Macaca fascicularis: one gene and its partners. The protein of the gene in region 1 purifies or fractionates together with the protein of each later gene. This does not show direct contact. Links are inferred from orthologs where the notes say so. Each region holds a gene or a part of one and is shown in the gene's direction. Other genes may lie near its edges.

What was found.
Region 2: the proteins of MEPCE (region 1) and LSM3 purify together in Homo sapiens (affinity purification with mass spectrometry; 3 studies listed by BioGRID and IntAct, with this or other methods). This does not show direct contact. The link is inferred for Macaca fascicularis from reciprocal best matches to the Homo sapiens genes MEPCE and LSM3.
Region 3: the proteins of MEPCE (region 1) and SRSF3 purify together in Homo sapiens (affinity purification with mass spectrometry; 3 studies listed by BioGRID and IntAct, with this or other methods). This does not show direct contact. The link is inferred for Macaca fascicularis from reciprocal best matches to the Homo sapiens genes MEPCE and SRSF3.
Region 4: the proteins of MEPCE (region 1) and HNRNPUL2 purify together in Homo sapiens (affinity purification with mass spectrometry; 3 studies listed by BioGRID and IntAct, with this or other methods). This does not show direct contact. The link is inferred for Macaca fascicularis from reciprocal best matches to the Homo sapiens genes MEPCE and HNRNPUL2.
Region 5: the proteins of MEPCE (region 1) and CDK9 purify together in Homo sapiens (affinity purification with mass spectrometry; 10 studies listed by BioGRID and IntAct, counting the BioPlex papers as one, with this or other methods). This does not show direct contact. The link is inferred for Macaca fascicularis from reciprocal best matches to the Homo sapiens genes MEPCE and CDK9.
Region 6: the proteins of MEPCE (region 1) and CCNT1 purify together in Homo sapiens (affinity purification with mass spectrometry; 3 studies listed by BioGRID and IntAct, with this or other methods). This does not show direct contact. The link is inferred for Macaca fascicularis from reciprocal best matches to the Homo sapiens genes MEPCE and CCNT1.
Region 7: the proteins of MEPCE (region 1) and SNRPN purify together in Homo sapiens (affinity purification with mass spectrometry; 3 studies listed by BioGRID and IntAct, counting the BioPlex papers as one, with this or other methods). This does not show direct contact. The link is inferred for Macaca fascicularis from reciprocal best matches to the Homo sapiens genes MEPCE and SNRPN.

Annotation. Positions count from the first base shown.
Region 1 is NC_088377.1:49,007,482-49,011,783, forward strand, and holds the start of MEPCE (7SK snRNA methylphosphate capping enzyme), read left to right. Parts: upstream 1-1,404; 5' UTR 1,405-2,632; coding exon 2,633-4,302. UniProt on the Homo sapiens protein: S-adenosyl-L-methionine-dependent methyltransferase that adds a methylphosphate cap at the 5'-end of 7SK snRNA (7SK RNA), leading to stabilize it.
Region 2 is NC_088376.1:152,442,895-152,447,196, forward strand, and holds the start of LSM3 (U6 snRNA-associated Sm-like protein LSm3), read left to right. Parts: upstream 1-1,401; 5' UTR 1,402-1,442; coding exon 1,443-1,463; intron 1,464-4,029; coding exon 4,030-4,140; intron 4,141-4,302. Other genes in the region: XPC (DNA repair protein complementing XP-C cells), read right to left, coding at 1,054-1,153. UniProt on the Homo sapiens protein: Plays a role in pre-mRNA splicing as component of the U4/U6-U5 tri-snRNP complex that is involved in spliceosome assembly, and as component of the precatalytic spliceosome (spliceosome B complex).
Region 3 is NC_088378.1:135,077,934-135,082,369, reverse strand, and holds the start of SRSF3 (serine/arginine-rich splicing factor 3), read left to right. Parts: upstream 1-1,537; 5' UTR 1,538-1,655; intron 1,656-3,893; 5' UTR 3,894-3,895; coding exon 3,896-4,101; intron 4,102-4,436. UniProt on the Homo sapiens protein: Splicing factor, which binds the consensus motif 5'-C[ACU][AU]C[ACU][AC]C-3' within pre-mRNA and promotes specific exons inclusion during alternative splicing.
Region 4 is NC_088388.1:11,332,063-11,335,774, forward strand, and holds part of HNRNPUL2 (heterogeneous nuclear ribonucleoprotein U-like protein 2), read left to right. Parts: intron 1-1,146; coding exon 1,147-1,315; intron 1,316-3,712.
Region 5 is NC_088389.1:16,210,871-16,215,230, reverse strand, and holds the start of CDK9 (cyclin-dependent kinase 9), read left to right. Parts: upstream 1-1,352; 5' UTR 1,353-1,467; coding exon 1,468-1,559; intron 1,560-2,020; coding exon 2,021-2,102; intron 2,103-2,839; coding exon 2,840-2,930; intron 2,931-3,268; coding exon 3,269-3,435; intron 3,436-3,535; coding exon 3,536-3,707; intron 3,708-3,865; coding exon 3,866-4,014; intron 4,015-4,360. UniProt on the Homo sapiens protein: Protein kinase involved in the regulation of transcription.
Region 6 is NC_088385.1:55,529,579-55,534,044, reverse strand, and holds the start of CCNT1 (cyclin-T1), read left to right. Parts: upstream 1-1,508; 5' UTR 1,509-1,566; coding exon 1,567-1,727; intron 1,728-4,466. UniProt on the Homo sapiens protein: Regulatory subunit of the cyclin-dependent kinase pair (CDK9/cyclin-T1) complex, also called positive transcription elongation factor B (P-TEFb), which facilitates the transition from abortive to productive elongation by phosphorylating the CTD (C-terminal domain) of the large subunit of RNA polymerase II (RNA Pol II).
Region 7 is NC_088381.1:4,135,517-4,139,228, reverse strand, and holds part of SNRPN (small nuclear ribonucleoprotein-associated protein N), read left to right. Parts: exon of another isoform or gene 1-63; 5' UTR 64-130; coding exon 131-133; intron 134-989; coding exon 990-1,141; intron 1,142-1,945; coding exon 1,946-2,057; intron 2,058-2,509; coding exon 2,510-2,662; intron 2,663-3,412; coding exon 3,413-3,551; intron 3,552-3,712.

The DNA of each region.
Region 1 (4,302 bases):
GTGCCTATAATCCCAGAATTTTGCGAGGCCAAGAGGTCACCTGAGGTCAGGAGTTCGAGACCAGCCTGGCCAACATGGAGACACTCCATCTCTACTAAAAATACAAAATTAGCTGGGCGTGGTGGTGGGCGCCTGTAACCCCAGCTCCTCAGGAGGCTGAGGCAGGAGAATCGCTTGAACCCGGGAGGCGGAGGTTGTAGTGAGCGGAGATTGCGCCACTGCACTCCAGCCCGGGCGACAGAGCAAGACTGTCTTTTAAAAAATAATAAAAAATAAAAGATAATTTTTAAAAAGCCCCAATCCCAAATGCACCTTGCAATCCAAAGGGAAGAAGTTTTGGGGAGAAGTTCTTCCCATTTGGGGGGTGCTCCCATTTTCCTCTCTCTTCCCTCACCCCTTATTCTCTCTCAGGGATAGGGGTTCAGTTCGGAGGTGTCCCTGAGCCACACGTCCTCGCCTCTCCCCGTAAACGGTGGCGTCCCCCTCTCTCTTTCCCGTTCCTTCCCTTCCTTCCTCCCACCATGAGGGAATCTCCCCTCCACTCCCACTCCCGCCAAGGCACCGTGATCCTCATTCTCACTCATATTGTCAGTGCCCGTCAGGAGACTGGGCTGTTTTTGTCTGTTTCTTGGGGACGACAGATTCTGAGGAAAAAGGGCCAAGAGCTGGTTGTCGCCCTGAGAAAGTTTCTCCTCAGGCAACGGGTGCCAGGACTGGCGGCGCCTAGCACCTTCACCTACAACCAGAAACTAGCCGGCTACCTTCAGGAGCAGGGAGGACCTAAAGGCGAGGTGCAAAACCAGCTGGCGCAGCGACTCCGCAAGCCTCTCACACCTCAACCCAGGTTTCCCGCCACCAAGAAAAGGCACGAGGACGTCCTGCGCGCTAGCTCCACCCCCGGGAGGCGCGCTCGCGGAGTCTGAGGCGCATGCGCAACTGGAAACAGCGTCTGCGTTTCCGCGGCTGAGGTAATTCCGCCATCTTTCACCCGAACGTCCCGGGAAAACTACAAATCCCAGAATCCTCTTTGGTGTCACATATTTTTAGGCGGCGGCCGCAGCGCCTGATTGTTCTTGAAGCACATCTTACTAACTTTTCTCTGTTTCAGACTGCCTTTTCCTCCCTCTTTCCGTTCCCTGATTCCTCCTCTTCCTGCTGGTCTCCTTCACGCCCTCACTTTAGGATTTTGAGACTTTCCGGGACCCCACTGTCACCCCTGTCACCCGCTCCTCGGCCCAGCACTCCGCTGGCAGGAAGACCGGGCTGCGAATCTCCCCGGGAAAACGCCGTAGATTCGCTTCTTCCTCATTGGCCGAAGCGGGGGGGGCGGGGCCCAGCGCGGACCGAACCCCCGTCCCCGCCCACACTCTCTGGTATATAAGTCGGCGCGGCGCCGCGGCGGGCGTTTGGGGAGGCCCGTGAGCTGACGGGCCAGTGAGCGAGCGTCGGGAATGGGCGGAGGCGTTGGGGTCCGGGCCGTGGGTGTGGAGGCGGAGAGGAAGGCGTGGTGTGGCGTCTCCAGGTGATTGCGATTGGGGGAAGGCAGAGGAACCAGAGAACGACTCAGCCGTTTCGGGGGAAGAGGAAGTTGGACAACACCGGCTGTTTTAGTGCTTTTTATTTTTCCCCAATTCAGCAGAGAATATTTTCGAGGGGGGTGAGTTATAATGACCTATCGCGTTTTACTGAGCCCAGTTCCACTCCTGCCCTTCCTCGGCTTTGTAGGGTCTCTCTGCTCCTTCGGAAGCGCTTCTAAGAAGATGGGCAGAGGGGGGAGGTGTGCTACCAACAGCTCATGAATAATTCATGAGCACCGCCCTTCGTCGGGAAGCCCTGCCCCTCCGGATCGCGCTGACGCACGCTGCGTTTACCAAACTTAAGGAAGCGACGTCACAGGCCCTACCCCTAAGACGGGAGGCGGGGCGCCACCTCCAGCACGTGCTGCCTGTACCCGCGCAAGCCCAAAAGGGTGTGCGCAGGCGCTGCTCACTAGGGGGAGGAAGGAGGCGGGGTGGGGAGGTTGTTGGATTTAGAGCCGGGTGGAGACCGCTGAGACTCATTCCTCAGGAACAAGGGTCGGGTGTCAAGGAGACCTTTTCACACCAGGTCCCGTCCCCCGCCTACGGTGGGTGGGATCGCGCGGCAGAGACAAAGGAGATCAGTAGGGCCGGACCTAGCTGCGCAGGGAAGTAGGGTGTCAGTTTGGGGTGGTGGGCTTTTGCGGGGGCTGTGTGGGGGGTTATATTTAAACTCCCAGAGCCGTTAAGTTGGTTCGTACTCCGATGCGCGCGCAACCAGGGTGGTGGCGGAGTGCGCATGCGTGGTTCCGGGGCGAAGGGAACGCGCGCTTGCCGTGCGCGCTCGCGGCGGGGTGGTAGTGGCGGAGGAGAAAGGGGTCGGCGCACGCGCGGTTGAGTGCTCGAGTAGTTCGGGTGTCGCGGGCATCTTGTTTTGGTCTCGCGGGCGAGTGGGGCGCACTTCGCGGGGAGGCGCTTGGGCGCGAGACTAGGCGAGAAGAGCAGAGCTGCGCGCGCACTCGGGAAAGGGGGGGAAGGGAGCAGGGTCCAGGCAGGGGGGGTTAAGCCCCCTGATCCCCCTCGTTACCCCGACTGGGACGGAATAAGGGGAGGAAATGATCGAGATGGCGGCGGAGAAGGAGCCGTTTCTGGTGCCGGCCCCGCCGCCGCCGCTCAAAGATGAGTCGGGCGGAGGGGGCGGCCCCACTGTGCCACCGCACCAAGAGGCCGCCTCTGGGGAGCTCTGCGGCGGGACGGAGCGTGGTCCGGGTCCTTGCGCGCCGTCTGCGGGGTCCCCGGCCGCTGGGGTCGGTCGAGAGAGCCCCGGGGCCGCGGCCACCCCCCCCGGTGGTCCCCAGGCGCAGCAGCACCGAGGAGGCGGCCCCCAGGCGCAGTCGCACGGGGAGGCCCGCCTGTCGGATACCCCGGGGCGAGCCGCTCCCCCGGACGTGGGGGAGGAGCGCCGGGGAGGGGGCGGGACAGAGCTGGGTCCCCCTGCTCCTCCTCGACCCCGCAATGGCTATCAGCCCCACCGGCCACCTGGGGGGGGCGGGGGCAAGAGGAGAAATAGCTGTAATGTAGGGGGAGGTGGGGGAGGCTTTAAACATCCGGCCTTCAAGAGGCGCAGGCGGGTGAATTCGGACTGTGACTCTGTGTTACCCTCCAACTTCCTCCTGGGGGGCAATATCTTTGATCCCCTAAACCTGAATAGCCTCCTGGATGAGGAAGTGAGCCGCGCCCTCAACGCAGAGACCCCTAAGTCATCCCCCCTTCCGGCCAAAGGGCGAGATCCAGTGGAGATCCTCATCCCCAAAGATATTACTGACCCGCTCAGTCTCAATACTTGCACTGATGAGGGCCATGTAGTTCTTGCTTCGCCACTCAAGACTGGTCGGAAGCGGCATAGACACCGGGGACAGCACCACCAGCAGCAGCAGGCAGCCGGAGGGAGTGAGAGCCACCCCGTGCTGCCCACAGCCCCTCTCACCCCCTCACTCCACGGGGAGGGCGCCTCACAGCAGCCGCGGCACAGAGGCCAGAACCGGGATGCCCCCCAACCCTATGAACTCAACACAGCCATCAACTGCAGGGATGAAGTGGTGTCTCCGCTTCCATCTGCTCTACAGGGTCCCTCAGGCTCCCTATCAGCCCCTCCAGCTGCCTCAGTTACCTCTGCACCCCCATCTTCCTCCTCCCGACATCGCAAACGTCGCAGGACTTCCAGCAAGTCGGAGGCAGGGGCTAGGGGTGGAGGCCAGGGTTCCAAGGAAAAGGGCCGAGGGAGTTGGGGAGGCCGTCACCACCACCACCACCCACTGCCTGCAGCAGGCTTCAAAAAGCAACAGCGCAAGTTCCAGTATGGGAATTACTGCAAATACTATGGGTACCGCAATCCTTCCTGTGAGGATGGGCGCCTTCGGGTGTTGAAGCCTGAGTGGTTTCGGGGCCGGGACGTCCTAGATCTGGGCTGCAATGTGGGCCATCTGACCCTGAGCATTGCCTGCAAGTGGGGCCCGTCCCGCATGGTGGGCTTGGATATAGATTCCCGGCTCATCCATTCTGCCCGTCAGAACATCCGACACTACCTTTCCGAGGAGCTGCGTCTCCCACCCCAGACTGTGGAAGGGGACCCGGGGGCAGAGGGTGAGGAAGGGACCACCACCGTTCGAAAGAGGAGCTGCTTCCCAGCCTCGCTGACTGCCAGCCGGGGTCCCATCGCTGCCCCCCAAGTGCCCTTGGATGGAGCGGACACATCAGTCTTCCCCAACAATGTTGTCTTCGTCAC
Region 2 (4,302 bases), on another chromosome or scaffold:
TGAGATTTGAAGAAATCAGCCCTGGCAAAAGCCATGGTGGGGGGTCACTCTAGGCCGAAGGAATATCAAAGGAAAAGGCTCAAGAAATAACTTGGCATATTTGAGGAAGAGAAAGGAGGCCAATGAGGAGGGTATCTGGCAAGGAAACAAGTGGTAGGAGAAACAGGAGAGGTAGCAAGAGCCAAAACACGTAGCATCTTGCAGGCCAGGATAAGACAACTGGGTTTTAAACTAAGAGCAATGGAAAACCAAGGAGAGTTTAAAGCAGGAGCATGGCATGATTTTTTTTTTTTTTTTAAAGATTATTTGCGTTGCTGGATGCAGAGCTGGGAGGCCAGTCAAGAGGAAACTGCAGTCACTCAACTGAAAGGTGATGGTGACTTGGACAGGGGTTGTGGCCATGGAAATGAAGAGAAGTGGACAAATTTGAAATACAGTCTGAGGCTGAACTGACTGGACTTGCTGACGGGACTGGATGTGTGCACATAAGAAAAAGGTGGACTTTGTTTTATAACAAGTATTGGGACTGGAAAAACGGAGGAAACCATAGATTTGAAGGGGAAGACCATGAGCTCTGCACTGTCCACGACAAATGTAAGAAGCCTATCCAATATCCACGAGGGGAAGTCAGGTGGGATCCCACTGTGGAACTCTGGGCGAGACTCAGCTGAAGTTATCATTCGGGAGTCAGCACACTGCATCACTCTACGTCCTGGTCCGTCCGTCCGTTTTCCTGGGACACAAATAACTGCCTTCTCCGCGTTCAACCCTGAACATCTGCGCTGTATCCTCTGGACAACGGGGAGCGGGAAAGAAGCTACGCAGGAGCTTGGGTCGGGCGAGGCTCACGGGAAGCCGCTCTGGGTGCAGAGGACAAAGGCGCAGGGACAGCGGGGAGGGCCGGCCGCGGCCTGCCGTGCTGCCCCCACTGCGCGGAACGCGCGCAGCAACCTCCACCCGGCCTCCGCGTCTGGACTCCCGCCGCCCCTGCCTCTGGGCCTCCTCCGCCCACCGGCAGAGTCTCCCGCGAAGCCCGCTGGGCCACGCTCTCACCCTCCTCCTCCTCACGCCGGGTCTTGCTCTTGGCCTTGGACTTCTGGCTGCGCGTTTCGCGTCCCCGCGGCTCCCCGCCGGCCGCGCGCTTCCGAGCCATATTGCTTGTCGGGGAAAAATCCACTTCGCGAGTGACGCACCAGGCCGCGATGCGTTAGAACGCAGGCCCCGCCCCGAGGCGGGCGCGTCTGGCCGCGCCCCTTCGTTGGAGGCCTAGTCACGCCCCCAAAGGAAGCTCCGCCCCATACCCGTGGCCACTAAAAAACCGCGGGAAGCAGGCAAGAGCACAGCAGGTTTCTATTTCCGGTGTATTGTAGCATCACGTTTCCGGAGCTCGGCGTTGCTCTTGTGTTCTCGCGAGAGGCGGGAAAGGGCGCAGGGTTTGAAACATGGCGGACGACGTAGACCAGGTGAGTGAATTTTAAGGCGGTGGCTCGGCGCCGCTTCTTGTACTAAACTGCTTTTTCCAAACGCAGGAAAAATGGCCAGTCGCGCCTCTTCTTTCCAAGTCACACGGCCTAATCCGCCCCATCCTTTCCGTAAACACCCCTGTCCGAATTTTGCTGCAGGCCCTGAGGTCTTTTCCGTTAGAAGGCCACCTGATGACTATTCATCACACTCTTCGCTTTGTTTTTTTAAATCTGTAAATTATTATGCGTGCCTACCTCACGGAGCTGTCAGGATTCCAATAGAAAGCCAGATAATAAAGTTAGGAGTTGTTATTACTGAGCACAACAATTATTTACTCATTCAGCAGAGAGAGTGAACATCAGCTTTGTATGGTTAGACACTGTTCTAAGAGCCAGGGACACTGACATCGATATATAAGTGATCCTTGCCATGACTTGGAGCTTATATTCGCGAGGAGAACAGATAAATATAAATATGTAAGATTTATAGGAACTGTGATGTGCTATGAAGGAAACAAGGAACTGGTATGCAGAATAACAGATGGTCCTAGAAGCTTTTTCACCTGGTCTTTTTCTTCCTCAAATATCTTTGGAGATCATGCTACAACTTAAACTTTCTACTGAAATCTCACCTCCTCAGAGAGGACTTCTGCCCAAATAGCACTCCCCCTACTCTGCTTACCCTGCCTCATTTTTCTTCATAGAACGTTATTTTTTCATATTAAATGTATGCATCTTTGTTTAATGTGTATCTCTCCTGACTAGAATGTAAGTGCCATAACAGTAGGCATTTTGTTTTGTTCATTCTTTTGTCCTTGGGGTTTAGAACAGTGCTGGAAATACTCAACAAATATTTGAGTGAATGAGTTAGATGATCAGAGGAGGCCTCTTTTAAAAGCCAATGTATAAAGCTACAGGATGAAAAAGAACAGAAAGTGGGCATCCCAGACAGAGGCTTAGGTAGCAGTAGAGCTCTGTCATGTGCATATTCTTACAGTATTATAATTATTCATATGCCTATCCACATTAGAATGAGCTCCTTGAGGGTGGAGATTGTGACTTCTGTATCATTGTAATCTAACAGTTGGTTATCAGATCCTTTAACAAACACCTGTTGAACTGAGGGACATAGGGACCAGTTGAGTTAGGTTATTTTTTTTTCTCTCATCGGGCCTTTTGAATCTTTAGCGCCTGTTACGAATTCAGTTACCTTCCTCCACTGGCCTTGTGTGCTTACTAAAGAAGCTCTCCTTGAATCATCTAACTCTTTAATGGCTGCAACCCTCCCTTCCATGTGGGTGACCCCAAGTCATCCTAGCCCTGACCTCTAAAACCAGTGTTTCCAGCAGTTCTTTAATAATATAATATTAGTAGGAATCTTTTCTTTTCTTTTTTTTTTTTGGATGGAGTCTCACTCTATCGCCCAGGCTGGAGTGCAGTGGCGTGATCTCAGTTCACTGCAACCTCTGCCTCCTGGTTCAAGCGATTCTCCTGTCTCAGCCTCCCAAGTAGCTGGGACTACAGGCACGTGCCAGCACGCCTGGCTAATTTTTGTATTTTTAGTAGAGACGGGGTTCACCATGTTGGCCAGGCTGGTCTCAAACTCCTAACCTCAGGTGATCTGCCTTTCTCAGCCTCCCAAAGTGCTGGAATTCAGGCCTGAGCCACCACGCCCAGCCAAAAGGAACCGTTTCTAAGTATTAATATTTTCTGCTTTCCTGGCACTGTTTTAAATGCATTAACTAGTTTCATCCTCATAAGAATCCAGAAGGAAGGTTGTGGCTTTCTCAATTACAAATGAAGAATCTGAGAATTACAGATGGCATGATTTTTAATCTCAGTTCATAAGTGTCAGGTCACAGCCAGGAGTTGAACCCAGACTGCCTGACTCCAAAGTCAGTGCTTGCTTGCTTGTTGGCACCATCTTGGCTCACTGCAACCTCCACCTCCCAGGCTCAGGCAATCCTCCCACCTCAGCCTCGGAGTAGCTGGGACTACAGGCGCATGCCACCATGCCCGGCTAAGCCAGTGCTTTGAACCAGTGTTCTATTCTGGCTACTAAATATTCATCTTACTGGCCAGTTGGCAGCCTAACCTCAACCTGTGCTGAATTCATAATCTTCCCATAAACCTACACCTCTACTTGGCATTCTGACTAGTATATGGTAGGCATTAAGTGAGTGTTTTTCCTATGATTACATAATATTTGAGATAAAGCTAAAGTTCCTAAGACCCTATACCCTGAAATCGGGTCAGGCAGTTTGGATTTTGAGGGAACAAAGTATAGTCATGATTATTTTGCTGTGTAACTCCTTCTTATGTATGCGTGTTTTAATCTACATTTATATAGCACATACTATGTGAAAAGTTCTGTTCTAAGCCTTCATATATGTCACTTAAGCCTCATAAAAACAGTATTAGGTAGACACTATTATCTCCATTTTACAGATTAGGAGACTGAGGCAGAAAAAGGTTAAATAACTTGCACATGGTCATACAGCATAGCAGTGATTTAAGCACTACTTTATCTCTAGTACTATATTACTAAACCTGTTTCTGTTATCAGCAACAAACTACCAACACTGTAGAGGAGCCCCTGGATCTTATCAGGCTCAGCCTAGATGAGCGAATTTATGTGAAGATGAGAAATGACCGAGAGCTTCGAGGCAGATTACATGTGAGTAAATTTATCAAGTTACCTTGAAATCAGATTCCTTCCCACCCCCACTCCCTTGAAATGTAAAACCTGTCCAGAGTGAAAAGGTATTTTGAAGGAAGAGAGGGTAGTGGAAAATCACCCATGTTTCCATAAGCCAGATGAAGCTGCATGTATTCACAT
Region 3 (4,436 bases), on another chromosome or scaffold:
TCACTGCAACCTCTGCCTCTCGGGTTCAAACAATTCTCCTCTCTCAGCCTCCCCGGTAGCTGGGATTACAGGTGTGTGCCACCGCGCCGGACTAATTTTTGTGTTTTTAGTAGAGATGGGGTTTCACCATATTGGCCAGGCTGGTCTTGAACTCCTGACCTCAGGTGATGGGCCCGCCTTGGCCTCCCAAAGTGCTGGGATTACAGGCGTGAACCGTCACACCCAGCCTTTTTCTCATTTTTTTTTTTTTTTTTTTAGAGCAGATATAACAAGTAAATTTAGCAATACGTCAGACTAGACTGAAAGGGGTTTAGGGTGGGGGTATATTTGGGGGCAGGAGACTAGCTGAACTGTTCAGGAAATCTTGGTGATTTTTATTTTCTTCCTTTTTTTTGACACGAAGTCTCGCTCTGTGGCCCAGGCTGGAGTGCTGTGGGAGGATCTCAGCTCACAGCAACCTCCACCTCCTGGGTTCAAGTGATTCTTCTGCTCTCCTCCCAAGTAGCTGGGATTACAGGCGCCCGCCACCACGCCCGACCAATATTTGTATTTTTAGTAGAGACGGGATTTCACCATGTTGGCCAGGCTGGTTTTGAACTAATGACCATGTTGGCCAGGCTAGTTTTGAACTCTTGACCTCAAGTGATCCGCCTGCCTCGGCTTCCCAAAGTGCTGGGATTACAGGCGTGAGCCCGGCGCCCGGCCCTTGGTGATTTTTCTAAGCTTATCACAGTCTCTCTCCCCTTAGAGTTAATTATTCTTGTGGCTCTGTGTTCCTAAGGGAAGTGGTCCGGACAAAATACATGCCAGGCAGTGCAAGGGCTGCTAGGAGAAAGGCCCGAGATACCCCTCCCGGCATTCGCTTGGGGGCCCACAATTTACATTCAATCTTCTTCAGAAACTTCCTTTTCCCGGTGTTTGCTAAAGGTGATAGTTTCCAGGTCACCTGACCGGTCTCCTTTGCTGTCAGCGCCAAGTCCTGCAAGTTTGCGTGAGAGGCGAGAAACCAGCAAGAGTTGGGCAAACTTTTCAAACCAGGTTTTTCCTTCAGGGTGGAATCTAGGCGGCCACAGTCTGGTGCCAGCTGGGTCACAAACAGCTCCGTGACCTGTTTGTAAACGCGATGCTCTTAGGTCCAGCCTAACCGCTCACAAGGATGAAGCACTTAATTAATTCATCTCTTAATCTTGTTAGGAGCCAACGGCTCCGATTAGTGTTTGGGCGTGACGGGGACGGTGCTGTTTATGAAGTCCCAGCCCATTTGGAGGTTAGGAAGAGGGGTCTGTGGGTAACTTGAAGGTCGACACACTAGGAAGAACGCTCGAGGGAGCGCCAGGCCTGTTACAACGAGCGCGCGCGCCGGCGCACTTCTCCACCCACCCGGCGCAACCGCCAGAGCGCGCTCCCAGCAACCGCGGCTCTCGCTGCGTTTGTAGCCACTACGTCACGGCCTCTTCTGCTTCTCATTGGGCGAGTCCGTCCAATCATGTGATTCCAGTATGGCGTATAAATAAAGGCGAGGAGAAAGCGGTGGTCCGCCATTTCGTGGACGCCGGGTGAGCGAGAGCTTTGGTGGGTGTTGGGTCGGAGGAAAGCAGGAAGACCCATCGGAGCGTGTGGATTTGAGCCGCTGCATTTCTTAACCCTAGATCTCGGTAAGAGACCAGCGAAAGAGGGAGTGAGGTGGAAGTGGAGTTTAACCGTACCAAGGAGGAGCCAGGCCCAATGGCGGCGCCAGATTGAGACAAAGAGGCGCCGCCGCCATTTTGTGACGTTCAGCACGGGGCGGTGGCGGGGGTTCCCGGCCCATCAGAGGGTTTCCTAGTCTTGGGGTGGAGGTGTTTATATTCCTCAGTGGGTGATGAGCCAGGATAGGGGGTTACCCGGGAGTTGGGAGCCACAAAGGGGACCGATAGCCGAGTTGTATTCCAGGTCGCAGCCTTTTTATGTTTATGGCGCCTTTTTTTTGGGCCCATCATTTAATTGGGAAGCTCCTCGGAATGCTTTTGTAAAGTCACTAACCAAGACTGGACCTTCTAATTCATGTTAAATGGCCCCCGTAATCACTTTTACTTTCATGTAGTTTCAGTTTTTGCAGCCTGAATCTAATCACTTTTTTCTAAGACCGAACGATCTTCCTTGAACTTATTAAGATTCGTTCTTTCAGCCGCCTCCCATTAAAATGTAGGCTTAAGACAGATGCCAGCAGTGTTTTTAAAGATTTTCACCAGTGGTTTTATCTTAGAACTCCTGGGCACAGGGTGTGGTCACAGCAAGTAGGATGTGTCTGGACTGGATATTTTAATTAGACAAGCCCAGAGTAAGAACGTGGTGTTTATGGAAAGCACTTCAGCTAAATTATTGAGTATATGGTTTTTATGTAATTGAAACTGGTCTACAAGTTTATCAGATTCATCGCCGAAGTGACGACTAAGTAATAAAGCTTAATCAAATGTAAGTCCGCCAAGGAAAAACAAAAAAATAAGTCCCCAAAGTGCAGTGAATTTTTGAGTAGCAAATACCTCTTTGTAACTTTTTATTAAAGTAAAATTATCCCAAAGTGGTATTTAGTATAATCAGTGTTGTGTAATCATCACTTACACGTAGTTCCAAAACATTTCCGTCACCCCCCACCGCCCCCAGGAGACTCCTACCCATTGAGCCCTTACTCCCAGTTTCCCTGTCCCACTTCCTCCAGTCACTAGCCACCACTAATCTCTCTCTCTGAACTTAGCTATTTTAGATATTTAGTATTTATGGAATCGTGTATTTTTATGTCTGGCTTCTTTAGCGTAATGTTTTCAAGATTTTCCAACGTTGGAGTATTTGTCAGTACATCATTCTGAACAATACTCATTTTATGTCTATACCACATTTTGCTTATCCGTTTCTGTTGATGGACATTTGGGTTAACACCTTTTGGCTACTGTGAATAAGTGCTGCTATGAGCTTACGTTTAAAAAAAAAACTGGAAAGTTGGTCTCGTTGCTTGAGAAATTCTTACTGCATAAGACTTTGGTCTATTTAATGACATGTGATAGCAGCCTTGTTCCTATGATTTCAAATGACCAAAATAGGCATGCATTTATTTATTTTTTTGACGATGGAACCTCGCTCTGTCGCCCAGACTGGAGTACAGTGGCGCGATCTGGCTCACTGCCACCTCCGCTTCCCGGGTTCAAGCGATTGTTCTGCCTGAGCCTCCCGAGTAGCTGGGACTAAAGGTGTTTGCCACCATGCCCGGCTAATTTCTGTATTTTTAGTTGAGACGGAGTTTCACCATATTGGCTAGGCTGGTCTCGAACTCCTGACCTCGTGATCCGCCTGCCTCGGCTTCCCAAAAGTGCTGGGATTACAGGCGTGAGCCCGGTCCATGGGCTTTTTTTTTTTTTTAAATGAAAAGTTGGCTTTTTATTAAAGCTGATACGTTTTGGCTTATGTAGGCACTTTGAATCCCTTTTCTGGTAGTGTAACCTAAAGGACTAGCTTTCTTCATCATTGTTGTATTTGGTTTTGAGTCCCCAACAGAACTCTTTTATACTTTTCTAGAAATGCTTTATTTGGGGGATTAAATAAAATAACAGGTTAAGTCTTTAACTCACGGCCCAGATGATGGTAAATGCTCCTCCAGTGTTCTCACGTTCCAAGGAAGCTGTTTTTTCCTTCACTAATTGCTGGCTTCCTGAGGGTCAGGAGAGTAAAAGTTATGGGGGAACAGGTGCTTAGCAGTAACATTTCTTGTTTGTTTCTAGCATTTTGGAATTAAGTTTTTTTTTCTCTTTACATGCTACCTTAAACTCTTTTGTGCACCATAATGGAATTCTTTCTAAGGATCTGTGGTTTTAACTGTAGATGTTTAGATAAATGAATATTTTTGGTATTTTTCATTACAGAAATGCATCGTGATTCCTGTCCATTGGACTGTAAGGTTTATGTAGGCAATCTTGGAAACAATGGCAACAAGACCGAATTGGAACGGGCTTTTGGCTACTATGGACCACTCCGAAGTGTGTGGGTTGCTAGAAACCCACCCGGCTTTGCTTTTGTTGAATTTGAAGATCCCCGAGATGCAGCTGATGCGGTCCGAGAGCTAGATGGAAGGTGATTTAAATTGATACAAATGTATTGCTTGTATTTTTCATATTTAAAATGTACAGGATATGTGGCTCTTAGATCTGGCTTTCCCAATCACTGGCCAATTGTATCTTTAGATACAATTGGGATTTTTTTTTTTTTTTTTTTGAGAAGAGTCTTGCTCTGTCACCTGGGCTGGAGTGCAGTGGTACGATCTCGGCTCACCACAGCCTCCGCCTCCTGGGTTCAGGTGATTCTCCTCCCTCAGCCTCCTGAGTAACTGGGACTCTAGGCATGTGCCATTATGCGGGGCTGATTTTTGTATTTCTAGCAAAGATAGGGTTTCACCATGTTGACCAGGC
Region 4 (3,712 bases), on another chromosome or scaffold:
CTGTGAACCTCAGTTTCCCTGATGAGCAAAACAGGATAATACCTGTCACGTAGTTTGAAAAGTTAAAGAAGATCATGTGTATTGATCCCTCATCTCATGTCTTCTGAGTTACCAAAGATACTGAGTCTTTTTTTTTTTTTTTTTTTTTTTGGAGATGGGGTCTCGTTCTGTTGCCCAGGCCGGAGTGCAGTGGCGCGATCTCGGCTCGCTGCAAGCTCCACCTCCCAGGTTCACACTATTCTCCTGCCTCAGCCTCCGGAGTAGCTAGGACTACTGGCGCCCGCCACCATGCCTGGCTAATTTTTTGTTTTTGTTTTGTTTTTTTTTTTTTTTTTTTTTTTTTTTTTGAGACGGAGTCTCGCTCTGTCGCCCAGGCTGGAGTGCAGTGGCCGGATCTCAGCTCACTGCAAGCTCCGCCTCCCGGGTTCACGCCATTCTCCGGCCTCAGCCTCCCGAGTAGCTGGGACTACAGGCGCCCGCCACCTCGCCCGGCTAGTTTTTTTTTTTGTATTTCTTAATAGAGACGGGGTTTCACCGTGTTAGCCAGGATGGTTTCGATCTCCTGACCTCGTGATCCGCCCGTCTCGGCCTCCCAAAGTGCTGGGATTACAGGCTTGAGCCACCGCGCCCGGCCAATTTTTTGTATTTTTAGTAGAGACAGGGTTTCACCGTGTTAGCCAGGTTGGTCTTGATTTCCTGACCTCATGATCCACCTGCCTCAGCCTCCCAAAGTGCTGGGATTACAGGATTACAGGCTTGAGCCATCGCACCCGGCCTTTTTTGTTTTTTTGAAGATGGAATATTGCTCAGCCACCACCCAGGCTGGAGTGCGGTGGTGCAATCTCGGCTCACTGCAACCACCATCTCCCGGGTTCAAGCGATTCTCCCGTCTCAGTCTCCCGAGTAGCTGGGATTACAGCACCCGCCATCATGCCCAGTTAATTTCTGTATTTTAGTAGAGATGAGGTTTCACCATGTTGGCCAGGCTGGTCTTGAACTCCTGACCTGAGATGATCTGCCCACCTTGGCCTCCCGAAGTGCTAGGATTACAGGCGTGAGCCACTGTGCCTGGCTGATACTGATTCTTTTGGTTAAATTTGAGTGATAATTTTCTTCCAAAACATCAGTTATTCCTCCTGTTCTTAGTGTAATGTGTACAATTCTGGCCAACGGCGGAAGCTATTACTGTTCAAGACCTTCTCTCGGAAAGTGGTGGTGGTTGTCCCTAATGAGGAAGACTGGAAGAAGAGGCTGGAATTGAGGAAGGAAGTAGAGGGAGATGATGTGCCTGAATCTATAATGCTGGAGATGAAAGGTGGGTGTCTTAGTCCATTTTCTGCTGCTATAACAGAATATCACAGACTTTGTAATTTACAAATGTAATAGAGGTTTATTTCCCTCATGGTTCTGGAGGCTGGGAAGTCCAAGAGCACAGCACTGGCATCTGATGAGGTCCTTTTTGCTGCATCATTCTGTGGCAAGAGGGCAAATGTGAGAGAACTTGCTTTTATAACAAAGCTGCTCTCACGATAACGGCATTAATCTATTCATGAGGATGGAACCCTCATGACCAGCTCACATTAAAAGTCCCACCCTTTCAACACTGCTCATTGGGGATTAAGTTTCCACCACTTGTACTTTGGTGGGACATAACTCAAACCATAGCAGTGGGCTAAAATTGTACAAGTTAAAGAGATTTTATCCCTGGTCAGTGCACACCTTATTGAAGCCTCTTAGCACCTGGAGTGACACTCTACATCTAAAATATAAATCTAAAGAGGAACTTAATGGTTACAAGCATTTGTAGGTGAATGAATGAGCAGAGAGAAGCAGTAACCCCTTGACTCATTGTTTTCTTGGTTTGTTTTGGTTTGGTTTGGTTTGGTTTGGTTTTGAGACAGAGTGTCACCCCGTTGCCCAGCTTAGAGTGCAGTGGTGTGATCTCAGCTCACTGCAACATCTACCTCCTGGGTTCAGGCGATCCTCTTGCTTCAGCCTCCCAAGTAGCTGAGATTACAAGCATGTGCCACCATGCCTAGCTAATTTTTGTGTTTTTAGTAGAGACGGTGTTTCATCATATTGCCCAGGCTGGTCTTGGAACTCCTGACTTCAGTTGATTTGCCTGCCTTGGTCTCCCAAAGTGCTGAGATTACAGGCATAAGCGGCTGCACCCAGCCGCCTTGACTCGTTTTGAAAAAGATACAGAAAGGGAAATAGTGAGCCGGGCGCGGTGACTGATGTCTCTAATCCCAGCACTTTGGGAGGCTGAGGCTGGTGGATCACAAGGTCAGGAGCTCACGACCAGCCTGACCAAGATGGTGGAACCCTGTCTTTACTAAAAATACAAAAAAAATTAGTCAAGCATGGTGGTGGGCACTTGTAATCACAGCTACTTGGGAGGCTGAGGCAGAGAATTGCTTGAACCCGGGAAGTGGAGGTTGTAGTGAGCCGAGATTGTGCCACTGCACTCCAGCCTGAACAGAGGGAGACTCCCATCTCAAAAAAAAAAAAAAGAAGAAGAAGCAAGGAAAATAGTGACTGTAGGGGGATTTAAACTCAACGGAGAGGCTTCTGTGAATCAGTTATTTGTTAAGTAAATATTTCTGGTACATCTACTGTTTGTCTATATTTCTTACTCTGCTTTTTTTTTTTTTTTTTTTTTTTCTTTTTTTTATTGAGACGGAGTCCTGCTCTGTCGCCCAGGCTGGAGTGCAGTGGCCGGATTTCAGCTCACTGCAAGCTCTGCCTCCCGGGTTTATGCCATTCTCCTGCCTCAGCCTCCCCAGTAGCTGGGACTACAGGCGCCCGCCACCTCGCCCGGCTAGTTTTTTTTTTTTTGTATTTTTAGTAGAGACGGGGTTTCACCGTATTAGCCAGGATGGTCTCGATCTCCTGACCTCGTGATCCACCTGTCTCGGCCTCCCAAAGTGCTGGGATTACAGGCTTGAGCCACCGCGCCTGGCTGCCTTTTTTTTTTTTTTTTTTTTTTTTTTTTTTTTTTTTTTTTTGAGAGTCTCCCTGTTGTCACCTAGGCTGGAGTGCAGTGGCACGATCTCGGCTCACTGCAACCTCTGCCTCACAGGTTCAAGCGATTCTCCTGCCTGAGCCTCTTGAGTAGCTGGGATTACAGGCACCCGCCCAGCTAATTTTTGTACTTTTAGTAGAGACGGGGTTTCGCCATGTTGATCGGGCTGGTCTCAAACTCCTGACCTCAGGTGATCCACCGCACCTCGGCCTCCCAAAGTGCTAGGATTACAGGTGTGTGCCACCGCGCCTGGCTGCAGGGAGAGATTATTGTGGTTCGAATTAAAATATAGCAGTTGGAGTGAATGATCTCATTGGTGTAACTTGATTTCTGGTATCACATTATGTTTATGTTTTGTTTGTTAATTTGGCTGAAGTCTGTAATGCAATACATAAGACAGTAATGTCTACACAAGAAAGAAATATTAATATTTTGATTGATCCTTCTACTATTCCGTTAAAATGTGATTTTTTTTCCCCTTGCTGCCTTTAGTTCCTGACATCCCACCTACTCTATCAACTGTTTGCTCTTCAAATTCTGATAATTCCCCAGGCATGGGAACTGGTTTGCACATCTATGAGCCAGATCCTCAGAGTTTACTCAGAATGAACTATGCCAGTCTATAACTCATACTTAGGCACTCAGAGAAATGTAGCTCAGTTTTATAAAACTGAGGGCCAAGTGTAT
Region 5 (4,360 bases), on another chromosome or scaffold:
GGAGATGGGGGGGTGAGTGGTGAGCTCCCGCCTGCATAAGGACAGCAAGCCTCCCCAGTGCTCTCCTCCTGGCCCAACCACGGATAGCCTGAGTCAAGAGAATCCCCTTCACAGTCAGACACCCAGCTTTGTCGCCGTGTGACCTTGGGCAAATGACCTCACCTCTGAGCCTCAATGTCCTCTTCTGCAAAATGGGTTAGTGATCCTGACTATGGGGCTGTTGATTCAGGATTCGGCGGGAACGCCCAGCACTTCCTGAGCACACAAAGAGTGCTGAGAAAATGGTAGCTGTTTTTTGCGATTATTGACCCGGGGCCTGATCAGCTCTGGCGCGACTCGGCGAAGGCGCGAGTCCTGCGGGTCCCATCCCTGCCTCCTGGAGAGCCAGGCTCCAGCGATAGAAGGCCCGGGCGTTGCTTGCTCGTCGCCTCCAGTGCCGCCGCGCCCCCTGGCGGCCGTCGGTTGCCATGTCAACGGAGGGTGGCGGGGACCGGGGGAGGCGGAGGCGGGGGCCGTTTTCTCCTCCCAGGGCCGGAGGACGCTCCCTCCGCGCCTCCCGCCTTCGCCTCTTGGGGGGGCACTCCGAGCCGGGGAGGAAGGGGCTCTCCGCGGCAGCCGGCATGTGGGGGTAAACTGAGGCACGCGGCTGGGCGCCCGCAGCCAGGTGCCGAGCGCGGGGCCCCACCTCCGAAGGCGGAGGAGGGGCCGCGGGCGGTGACGCGCCGAGGGCGGCCGGCGGACAGCGAGCGGGCGGGCGGGCGGGCGGTGGCGGCGGCGGCAGGTGCGGCCGCGGAGGGTGGGAGGGAGGAGGGCGGGGGCGGGCGGAGGAGGAGGGGAAGGCGAGGCCGGGCACCTCCCCCTTTATAACGCGCCCCCTCCCGGGCTCTCGGGCCGTCTCCTAGTCGGCTCTTCCCGTCTCGCCCCCTCGCCCGGCCGCCCCGGGCCCGGGCCCGGCCAGGGAGCCCCCAGGCCGCGGCTCGGGGGCTGCCCCCCCGCCCGCCGCCCCGCGCAGCCCGGCGGAGGCGGCGCCGTCGGAGGAGGAGGAGCAGGGCACTGCGGCTGGCCCCGGATCGGGCGCCAGAGCGGCAGCAGCTTCGGCAGCAGCGGCGGCCCGGGCCCATGCAGCGGGACGCGCCACCCCGAGCCCCAGCTCCGGCGCCCCGGCTCCCCGCGCCCCCGATCGGGGCCGCCGCCAGTAGTGGCGGCGGCGGAGGCGGGGGCAGCGGCGGCGGCGGAGGCGCCTCTGCAGCTCCGGCTCCCCCTGGCCTCTCGGGAACTACAAGTCCCAGGGGGCCTGGCGGCGGGCGGCGGGCGGAAGAGGCGGGGTCGGCGCCGCGAGGCCGGAAGTGGCCGTGGAGGCGGAAGTGGCGCGGCCGCGGAGGGGCCTGGAGCGCGGCGGCGGCGGGACCCGGAGCGGGAGCGGCAGCAGCAGCGGCTGGGGGCGGCGGCGGCGCGTTGGAGGCGGCCATGGCAAAGCAGTACGACTCGGTGGAGTGCCCCTTTTGTGATGAAGTTTCCAAATACGAGAAGCTCGCCAAGATCGGCCAAGGCACCTTCGGGTAAGGCTGGGCCCCTCGGGGCCGGGAGCCGTGGGCCTGCACCCCTAGGGCGGACGTCGGGATGCCCCGGGCCCCGCCCGAGTTGGTAGAGAAACCGTCTGTCCCCGGGCTTGCCCACTGGTCTTTAGGCCGCGCCGCACCCCGCCCCGGCCTGAAGGAGCCGGCTGGTGGGGAGGAGCCTGAGGCCGGTGGTGGGGGCGGGGAGGGGCTGCAGAGAGGCGCCCGTGAGGGGAACGGGATCTCTCCAAGAGACGCCCAAGTGAGGAGAAGGGACTGAGAGAAGGAAGCAGAAGCTCCGAACGAGACAGGGTGCCGGGTGGCGGGGTAGCCGCGTGCCCTGGGTACTTACCCCAGCCCCGCCCGGGAATCTTTTTGCTGCTGCCCCTCCTCCGGTAGTGGGGGAGGGGCGGGCCCTGCGGAAATCGCCTGATGAGCTCTCGGGTCTCCCTTTCCGCCTGCAGGGAGGTGTTTAAGGCCAGGCACCGCAAGACCGGCCAGAAGGTGGCTCTGAAGAAGGTGCTGATGGAAAACGAGAAGGAGGGGGTGAGTACGGATCGGGCGTGCGGGCCAGCCGTCTAACTGCCCAGGACCCCGGGTCGGTTTTCCACCCTGCTGCTTCTAGGAGTCTCAGGTTGAGATTTAATTTTTTTCGTAGTAGTTCAGAAATTTCCAGGGAATTTGGCCTCCACCCTAAAACTAAATGCTTCATTCTTAGGCAGTTATGGGTGAGACCGGGAGGGGGAGTTGATGCATGCATCGTGTGCACTTTAGTTCACGAAGTTAGGAAGCCTTTAAACACCTTTTTTTAGTGTTAAATTTTGCTTAATGTTAAAGAAAGATACATATGCATGCAAATTTTTGAAAAGTGACTAATACTCAGTTATTTAATGTGTTTAAAAGGAGCGGTCCCTCCACCCCATCTTAGCTCAAGTACAACGTCCCATAAACCTTCCTTTTCCTGATGTGCTTTAGCGAGGACATTTTTGAATCGTCATGTTTGTTGCCAACGAAACAGCCATAGAGCTGAAGTTTGAAGGCTGAAACCGCCGAGCATTTAGTGGCTAATAGCAAAGTATTGCTGTTTCAGTTTGTTGTCTCAAATTATCTCCTTGAAGTGTGCATGCTCCTACTATATCCATTTTACAGGCAGAGCTTCTGAGACAGCTGGTTTCAGAGCCCATGATCTTGCTCTGTCTCCCAACTTGCCTCTCAATATAGACCCCAGGGCTGGGCTCTGTACTGCGCTCACTCTTGACCACTTTCCCCTCTCTCCCACCCAGTTCCCCATTACCGCCTTGCGGGAGATCAAGATCCTTCAACTTCTAAAACATGAGAATGTGGTCAACTTGATTGAGATTTGTCGAACCAAAGGTAAGTTGTTTGGATCTTATGAGGAGATGACACTTGTAGCCTAAGGTTTTGTTCGTAAAGTTGGAACTAGACCCACCTAAACTGCCTCCTCTTAACTCAGATGGACCCATGGTGACTGCTTTCTCTGGTCCTCTTTCATCGTAGCTGGTGCTTCCTCGGGGTCTGCCCTGGCCCAGAAGAGGCACTCAGAAAATATTTGACCAGTGAAGGAAGGAACAGACAGATGCTCTGGAGGGCTTGGGTGCCCATGGGTTGGAGCAGGAAGAAAGAAACTGGTTGTGGGAAAGTGTGTTGGGTGTGGCTTTCTTGACTTTTTCTTCCTTGTATTCCTGCCTCAGCTTCACCCTATAACCGCTGCAAGGGCAGTATATACCTGGTGTTCGACTTCTGCGAGCATGACCTTGCTGGGCTGTTGAGCAATGTTTTGGTCAAGTTCACGCTGTCTGAGATCAAGAGGGTGATGCAGATGCTCCTTAACGGCCTCTACTATATCCACAGGAACAAGGTGGGGGCGAGAGCTGGGAGGAGGACCCAGGCTTGGGCTGGCCTTGGCTCCCACTCCCGGGTGGATATCACTGAAGGAGCCACTCTTGCCCTTCTTGCAGATCCTGCATAGGGACATGAAGGCTGCTAACGTGCTTATCACTCGTGACGGGGTCCTGAAGCTGGCAGACTTTGGGCTGGCCCGGGCCTTCAGCCTGGCTAAGAACAGCCAGCCCAACCGCTACACCAACCGTGTGGTGACACTCTGGTACCGGCCCCCGGAGCTGTTGCTCGGTGAGGACTCCCGAGCGGGCCGAGGGGGGTGAGGGCCAGGCATCTACCTGGCCCCCGCCCCCCCACTGCCAGGGCTTCTTGAGCTGCCGGCCCTGGGGCATTGAGTCTCAGGAGGCCTCCGGGCTCAAGGGGCCCTCCTGGTGCGCTCTTCTTCCCAGGGGAGCGGGACTACGGCCCCCCCATTGACCTGTGGGGTGCTGGGTGCATCATGGCAGAGATGTGGACCCGCAGCCCCATCATGCAGGGCAACACGGAGCAGCACCAACTCGCCCTCATCAGTCAGCTCTGCGGCTCCATCACCCCTGAGGTACGGGGTCCCGGTCCCCCGGCAGAGGAGTGGGGAGTGGAATGGAGGGAGCGCTCCTCTCTGGAAGGGAGGCTGGTTTGGTGACAGGGCCTGCCCTTGAGAGCCACACAGGCTATGCGCCAGTCTTGGTTCCATCAGCCATTCTGTGGCCTTGGGCAGAACAACTGAGTCAGCGCTGGGTTTCTCTTCTGTGAACCAGAAATGGGACGTATATCAGGGTTGGGCCTGGCATGTGGTATGTGCCAATCTGTGGCGGGCACTGCTTCTCTTGGGAGGGGTCGAGTTCTCTCTGCAGTAGTAGTCTGGGAGTCTCGAAGTGGAGCAGGTATTTTAGTCCTTTTAGGCC
Region 6 (4,466 bases), on another chromosome or scaffold:
GACGCTGGAGCTGGGATATATCCGTTTTTTTTTTTTTTTTTTTTTTTTTTTTTTTGAGAAGCAGTCTTGCACTGTCGCCTAGGCTGGAGTGCAGTGGTGAGATTTAGGCTCACTGCAACCTTCGCCTCCCGGGTTCAAATCATTCTCCTGCCTCAGCCTCCCGAGTAGCTGGGATTACAGGCGTGCGCCACCACACTTGGCTAATTTTTGTATTTTCAGTAGAGACGAGGTTTCACCATGTTGGCCAGGCTGGTCTCCAACTCCGGACTTCAGGTGATCCGCCCGCCTTGGCCTCCCAAACTGCTGGGATTACAGGCGTGAGCCACCGCGCCGGCAAAGGAGCTGGGAAATATCTTGACAGAGGGCAGGAATTTGCTAATCTCTGCAAGTGAGGGGTAGTGGTGGAGGCTTTTCACACTCAAGGGGCAGTATTAGTTCACCCATTAGCAAACGTACTTAAAAATTACCTCTTGAGAGTTCCGCTGAATAAATGAAACAGTATATTTAAGTCAGTATTGTGCATGGGACATGTAAGCTCTTAATGTTATTAATTTCATTTTATTCCTTTAAGTTGGATCACTGCGGCGAAACGTGAGAATGTTTTCATGAATTTGGCTACACATTAAAGCGACCTCTCCAAATGGGTTGTCGTATTTTACATTGCTACCAACAATGTAACAGCCTTCTAGTTGCTTTATGTTCCCATATACGAAAGAGCCCCACCATTTGATTCTGTTTTTCAGTTTCTGACAACCTCACCTACTTTCTCTTTCAAGTTCATCTGCCCCATTTTTATTTTATTTATTTTTTAGACGGAGTCTCGCTTTGTCACCCAGGCTGGAGGCTGGGGTGCAGTGGCGCGATCTCGGCTCACTGCGACCTCCGTCTCCCGGGTTCAAGCGATTCTCCTGCCTCAGCTTCCCGAGTTCCTGGGACTACAGGCGCACGCCACCACGCCCGGCTAATTTTGTATTTTTAGTAGAGACCAGGGTTTCGCCATATTGACCAGGCTGGTCTCGAACTCCTGACCTCGTGATCCGCCTGCTTCGGGCTCCCAAAGTGCTGAGATTACCGACGTGAACCACCGCGCGCGGTCCATCTGCCCCATTTTATATCACCACTGCAGTCACAAACTAAGTTCTCCTAAGAACCACCAAGCGGCGCGTGGGCGGGCGCCTCATACCACTACAATTGCGACCTCACAACCTAACCCCGGGCGCCAACGCTCAATCCGGTTCTCGCGGGAAGATTCATGGTTTTTAAGCGAGAACTTCTAAGCCCACGCCACCTCCCAAGGGTCACGTGACGCGCCTGCGTCCTCGCCTCAAGGTTTTTTTCTCGTCGCATATTGGCTGTTAACTCGGCTACGGGGTGTCGCGAGGTGCATTCCGGAAGTAGGTCCTTTGACTTTTGCTTTCTTTACGGAAGAGAGTCACAACCCGGCGGTCGACGCTTAGCGGAAGTTCGTCAAGTCGCAGTTGCCCCCGCACAGCGGATGTGGGTCGCTACTTAGGTGACGCTGGGAAGTGTTTGCAGCCTCCGCCGCTGCCTTCTGGTTGAAGCATTATGGAGGGAGACAGGAAGAACAACAACAAACGGTGGTATTTCACTCGAGAACAGCTGGAAAATAGCCCATCCCGTCGATTTGGTGTGGACCCAGATAAAGAACTTTCTTATCGCCAGCAGGCGGCCAATCTGCTCCAGGACATGGGGCAGCGTCTTAACGTGTATCCTTGCGGCCTAGGCCTTCGGCCTTTGAGTTGGTCCCGCCATGCTCTGGCGTCTAGGTCTCAGGCTCTGGTGGGGGACGAAAGTGGGGAAGAAGGTGGGCAGAAGCTGGATGTCTAGTTGGGAGAGCCCACGATGGGGCGGGCTGAAACTCAGTTCGCGCTAGGGAAGCGAGGCGGAGTTGATTTCCCGCTCGCTCACCCGTGCCACCAACCTTGCTGGGCATTCGTATCCTTCCCGGCTTCGTGTTTTAACCAGCCCTTCCAACTCTCTCTTCATTGTGTTCTGATCGGCTCTGGTGACGTTAAGTTTCTCATTTTCCGCTGTGCCCTAGGGGTTTGGGTCTGGCAGAGGTTTCTCTGTTGAGGGCTGCTTCCGAAACCTAGTGTGTAAATTTCGAGAAATTCAGTACCTGAAAGTCTTATAAAGGGTGGTCTAGAATTAATGCCTCAGCCTTGGTCCAAAATCCATTCCTCATCTGCTAGCTGTTTAAGTGACCTGTCAAATTCTTGGTCGTCTTGTCTATAAAATGGGATGATACCTCTTGTGTTTGATTCTGTGTCCATCACAATGCTTTGCATTAAGATGCTCAATTAGTAGCTGCTGTTTTATAGAATTTCAGAGGAAAGATGTTAGTTTACGTTTGTAGGGGTTACCCACGAATCTAATGTTTTAAATCGTTTACAAAATACTGGGTCCTTAAGTTACTTAGAGTGGTGGTGTGTATTTCATTTTCTTTCTATTTCAAAAATGAGGTAACGGCCGGGTGCGGTGGCTCACACCTGTAATCTCTGCACTTCTGGGAGGCCGAGGCGGGTGGATCACCTGAGGTCAGGAGTTCGAGACCAGCCTGGCCAACATAATTAAACCCCTGTCTACTAAAAATACAAAAAATTACCCCGGCTTAGTGGCGGGCAGCTGTAATCCCAGCTAGTCAGGAGGCTGAGGCAGGAGAATCGCTTGAACCCGGGAGGCGGAGGTTGCAGTGAGCCGAGATCGCGCCACTACACTCCAGCTTGGGCAACAATAGTGAAACTCCGTCTCAGAAAAAAAAATTAAAAAAAAAATGAGGTATCCTCTCCCACATATTTTTGTTTGTCAGGAAATATACTTATTTTGTGGTGGAGAAAACTTGTATAGTTTTAAAGTTCTTTCCACTCTGTGTATGAAAATTTTCTTGGGTGCAGCTTCTATTTAAATGTGTGGCTGACAGTAATGTTTGTATCTTAAGGGTGTGTGCATCTCAAAATGGGTGTCTTTTTTATCGCCAGTTTGTTTCCTGCTGATGTCCAGATGTGTTTCCTAAGCATCCTATCAGTACGGAGTAAATCTTTTTGTTCGAAATTCTATTTCAGTGTATCCTTAAAACGCTTTCCTTTTTGTATGTGTGTTGTCATTAAGGTTGTCAGCCAGGCGCGGTGGCTCGCACCTGTAATACCAGCACTTTGGGAGGCCCAGGCGGGTCGATCACTTGAGGCCAGGACTTCAAGACCAGCCTGGCCAAAATGGTGAAACCCCGTCCCTACTAAAAATACAAAAATTAGCCATGTTTGGTGGCGAGTGCCTATAATCTCAGCTACTGGGGAAGCTGAGGCAGGAGAATCGCTCGAATTTGGGAGGCAGAGGTTTCAGTGAGCCAAGATGGTACCAGTGCACTCCAGCCTGGGCGACAGAGCGAGACTCTGCCCCCTCAAAAAAAGGCTGTTGTAATTTGGGACTGCATCATCTCTCTACCCCATATTGTCTACTGAAGTTTTTAGAAGTAAGGCATTTACAAGTTTTTTCTTCTTCTTCAGTTAATGAATTATCAGATCATTTCAGATGTTTCCTGTCCCGTGGATCACCACATGAGAAGGCTTGGTTGCCAGAGAGAAGTGGAACTGAAAATAATTTAGGCCGATTGTGGTGGCTCATGCCTGTAATCCCAGCACTTTGGGAGACTGAGGCGGGCGGATCACTTGAGGTCAGGAGTTCGACACCAGCCTGGCCAACAAGGTGAAACCCCATCTCTACTAAAAATACAAAAATTAGCCAGGCATGGTGGCCCAGCCGGTAGTCCCAGCTACTTGGGAGGCTGAGGCAGGAGAATTGCTTGATCCCAGGAGGTGAAGGTTTCAGCGAGCTGAGGTTGTGCCACTGCACTCAGCCTGGGTGACAGAACGAGACTCTGTCTGAAAAAAAAAAAAAGAAAGTAATTTAGTTGATGGAGTTTAGCAGGTGAGAGAGGTAGTGGAGACATACCTATGGGCCAGATCAGGGTGGGCGCTGTAAATCATATTAGATTATAGATATCTGCCACCATGCCTGGCTAATTTTTGTGTTTTTAGTCAAGGAGGGGTTTCGCCATGTTGCCCAAACTGGTCTCAAACTCCTGACCTCAGGTGATCCACCTGCCTCTGCCTCTACCCAAAGTCCTGGGATTACAGGTGTGAACCACCGTGCCCAGCCAGGCCTTATAAATTGGTTTTTTTTTTTTTTTTGGAGGTGGAGTTTTGTTCTTGTTGCCCAGGCTGGAGTGCAATGGTGTGATCTTGGCTCTCCGCAACCTCCGCCTCCCGTTTCAAGCGATTCTCCTGCCTCAACCTCCCGAGTAGCTGGGATTACAGGCATGCCCCACCACGCCCAGCTAATTTTCTATTTTTAGTAGAGACGGGGTTTCTCCGTGTTGGTCAGGCTGGTCTCGAACTCCTGACCTCAGGTGATCTGCACCCCCTTCGGCTTCCCAAAGTGTTGAGATT
Region 7 (3,712 bases), on another chromosome or scaffold:
TTTGAAGCTTCTGCCCAGCTTGCATTGTTTCTAGGAGAACCTGCATCATACCTTTATCTATAGCCTTCCCCTAGGTCTTCAGAAGCACCAAGTTTTAACTGTGGACATTGAATTTGGTGGAACAGCAATCATGGTAAGCTGTACAATAAGGCTGAGGGTTGAAAACGTGATGTAAGGGCTGAAAGAAAGAGTTTGCCAGCATGTGCAGTGATTTTGGGTTCTGAATGTTAGTATACATCCATGGATATAGATTCTCATTGCACTGAGTATCAGCGGGAGATGAGCTGATTTTTTTTATTTTTTTCAGACGGAGTCTTGCTCTGTCTCCCAGGCTCACTACAACCCTGGGTCCAAGAGATTCTTGTGCCTCAGCCTCTTTATTAGAGACAGGGTTTCACCGTGTTGGCCAGGCTGGTCTCAAACTCCTGACCTCAAGTGATCCACCCACCTCGGCCTCCCAAAGTGCTGGGACAGGCGTGAGCCACTGTACCTGGCCGTGAGAAATGTTTTATGATGTGAGAAAATACAGGAGTATTTGGTCATGATTCCACCCGTGGTGAAGGACTATCCTGCAGATGATGGACTCTCAGGTCAGATTACAATAGAAATAAAGAGGACTTTGAAAATGGAAGGGTTTTGGCATTAATAGTACAGAGAAAAGCAGTCTGGAGAGAGAGAACACCCTAATCATTGTGGTTTGGTTTAGTTAGGGGAGTGGACAGTTTACAGCATGCATTGTCTAAGAGAAGAATAATCACCCCTAAGGAGGTGAAAATTGGTTCTTGAGATGTGAAAAAATACTTCATAATCCTTCGTGGTCCTCCAGAGACTCATACTAAATATGGAAGAATGTTGGTGAAAAAGTAGGAGAGAATATTTGTTTAGTTAAGGAAACCAGGCTTGGATTATATAAGGGCGGAGAAGAAACAGAAGATTAGAAGACTAGGGTGTTGGCAACCTGAACATGACTCTTGTCTTACTGCTTCCAGACTGTGGGCAAGAGTAGCAAGATGCTGCAGCACATTGACTATAGAATGAGATGTATCCTACAAGATGGCCGAATCTTCATTGGCACCTTTAAGGCTTTTGACAAGCATATGAATTTGATCCTCTGTGATTGTGATGAGTTCAGAAAGATCAAGTAAGCTGATTTGGGTAAATGGGGGTTGGACGCAGAGGCAGTGGGAAAGGAAGGCCAGAGCTGGAGTAAGGGATTTCCAAGGGTAACTGAGGTAGGTAGGGAAGCTAAGGTAGAGCCAGTCTATTGTTTCACCTCTTGACCTGATCTCTGAATTAGGTCAGAGTCTGCATATAAACTCTTTTAAGTTTGTGAGACAATCATGGATTTATTACTGGGAATAAAAGTGTAGTGCTCAAAATATTAAGTTATATTTATTTTTAAAATTGAGAAAAATGCTATTGTTAATTAATTGGTTGGCTTCTGCAGCAGTCTTAGACCGAATAAATCTGGGTTGAAATAGAGAATAATAATTGCTCTTCACGGTTGAGGAGTTGGGATATGGTTGCTATTTGTTATCCTCTCTTTGCCTATTACTGTTCGCATTATTTCAGTTGTGTCATCCTGTCATTATGATTTAATTATTTAAGTAATTTTTTAAAGAAATTTCCATTTTAATATGGAAACCGAAGTTTCAACTTTGTTTTCCTTAAAAGGCGTTTTACAAAAGAAATTCGTCTTGTTGTAGTGTTAACATCAAAGGAACATTCTGTAAAAGACTAAAGTTAGATCAGAAAACAGCTTTACTATTTACCCTTTTATATTAACTGTTTACAGATTTTTTTTGGTTTGTTTTTCAGTGATAACTTAATATCTGTTTAGCATCGGTTGCCTTAATTGATACTTGAGGTTGTATAAATATTTTGATGAGTGAGTAATCTAGGGGTCACTAAAATTATCTCACTAAAATTTAATTCTGATTTGTAGGCCAAAGAATGCGAAGCAACCAGAGCGTGAAGAAAAGCGGGTTTTGGGTCTGGTGTTGCTGCGTGGGGAGAACTTGGTATCCATGACTGTGGAGGGGCCACCCCCCAAAGATGTAAGGAAGATGTAGAGCAGGACAGAACTCTAATTTGCAAGGACATCATATTATGTGAGATGTCTGAAATCACAGTACAGCACAGACACAGTTTAACATGGATTGTCAAATGTGCCAAGCACTTAGTATCAATTGTTGGTTGCCTATGCTATTTGGGATTAAGGGTTTTTTGGTGAATTATTCTGTGTGCTGGGCATTACCTAGGTGAGGGTAGGAGTTGCTGATTCATGTTTGCTTGGTATGTTTATAAAAGAGCTGTTTTCACAATTTGACAAATAATGTGCATTTTATCCACAAGATACCTCCATGGTATACTTGCTTGTTCATTTGGATACAGAACTAATACGAGATAAATGTCTGGGAAAATGGTGGAGAGAAGTGATCTCTGATGCATAAAAATACTGAGAACTTGTAAATTGTTTGATTTTAGGCTATACATTTTCTTGTTTCAGACTGGCATTGCTCGGGTACCACTTGCTGGAGCTGCTGGAGGCCCTGGGGTTGGTAGGGCAGCTGGTAGAGGAGTACCAGCTGGTGTGCCAATTCCCCAGGCCCCTGCTGGATTGGCAGGCCCTGTCCGAGGAGTTGGGGGACCGTCCCAGCAGGTGAGGAACCAGCGGAGGGTTTTATATTGGGAGAATGTGACTAAGCCAGAGGCCGAGGAGATTTAAAAACCTGAGTGTACATGTCATACTATGTAAAGGGCATATGGTCTAGGAGGAACCAACGGACAGATATACAGGAGGAAGGGAATAAAACTAGCTACTTAAAATGGTCATTGGGTGATTAAAATTACCCGAGTTACTCTTGGTAAGAGTAACTTGCCACTAGTGGTGAGTGAACGGAATGCCTGGATATACCTCAGTTGAAAAGATCAAAGGGCTTTGTGGATGTCAGTGTACTAAGATTAGTTTTTAAAATATGGGAATAGGCAGGTGCGGTGGCTTATGCCTGTAGTCCAGCACTTTGGGAGGCCACAGTGGGCAGATCACTTGAGGTCAGGAGTTGGAGACCAGCCTGGCCCACATGGTGAAAACCCCGTCTCTACTAAAAGCACAAAAACCTGCTGGGCCTGGTTGGGGGCACCTGTGATCCCAGCTACCCAGCAGGCTGAGACAGGAGAACCGCTTGAACCCGGGAGTGGGAGGCTGCAGTGGGCTGAGATTGCACCATTGCATTGCAGCCTGGGTGACAAGAGTGAAACTGTCTCAAAAAAAAAACATGGGAATAACGAGAGAAGTACAACATTGCAACAGTTGTTTGTATCTAATTGGCCATTTTTCTCATTTATTTTCTGTGTTTGAATAACGTGAAGGTATGTATCACTTTGTTGGTTTCTCCCCTTGCCTTCTCAGGTAATGACTCCACAGGGAAGAGGCACTGTAGCAGCTGCTGCTGTTGCTGCCACCGCCAGCATTGCTGGAGCCCCAACACAGTACCCACCAGGACGGGGGACTCCGCCCCCACCTGTTGGCAGAGCAACCCCACCTCCAGGTAAGGGATTGGTGAACATTAAGACGAATTTGAATCTCTGACTAGAGAGAGCTTACTGATTTAAGACACAGCCTGAGGGCCTAACTCAGAATCCAGGGCATATGCTTCCTCCCTCTTCTAGGTACTGGTGTTTAATGAAAGACGTAGGAGAGTAATTGTCA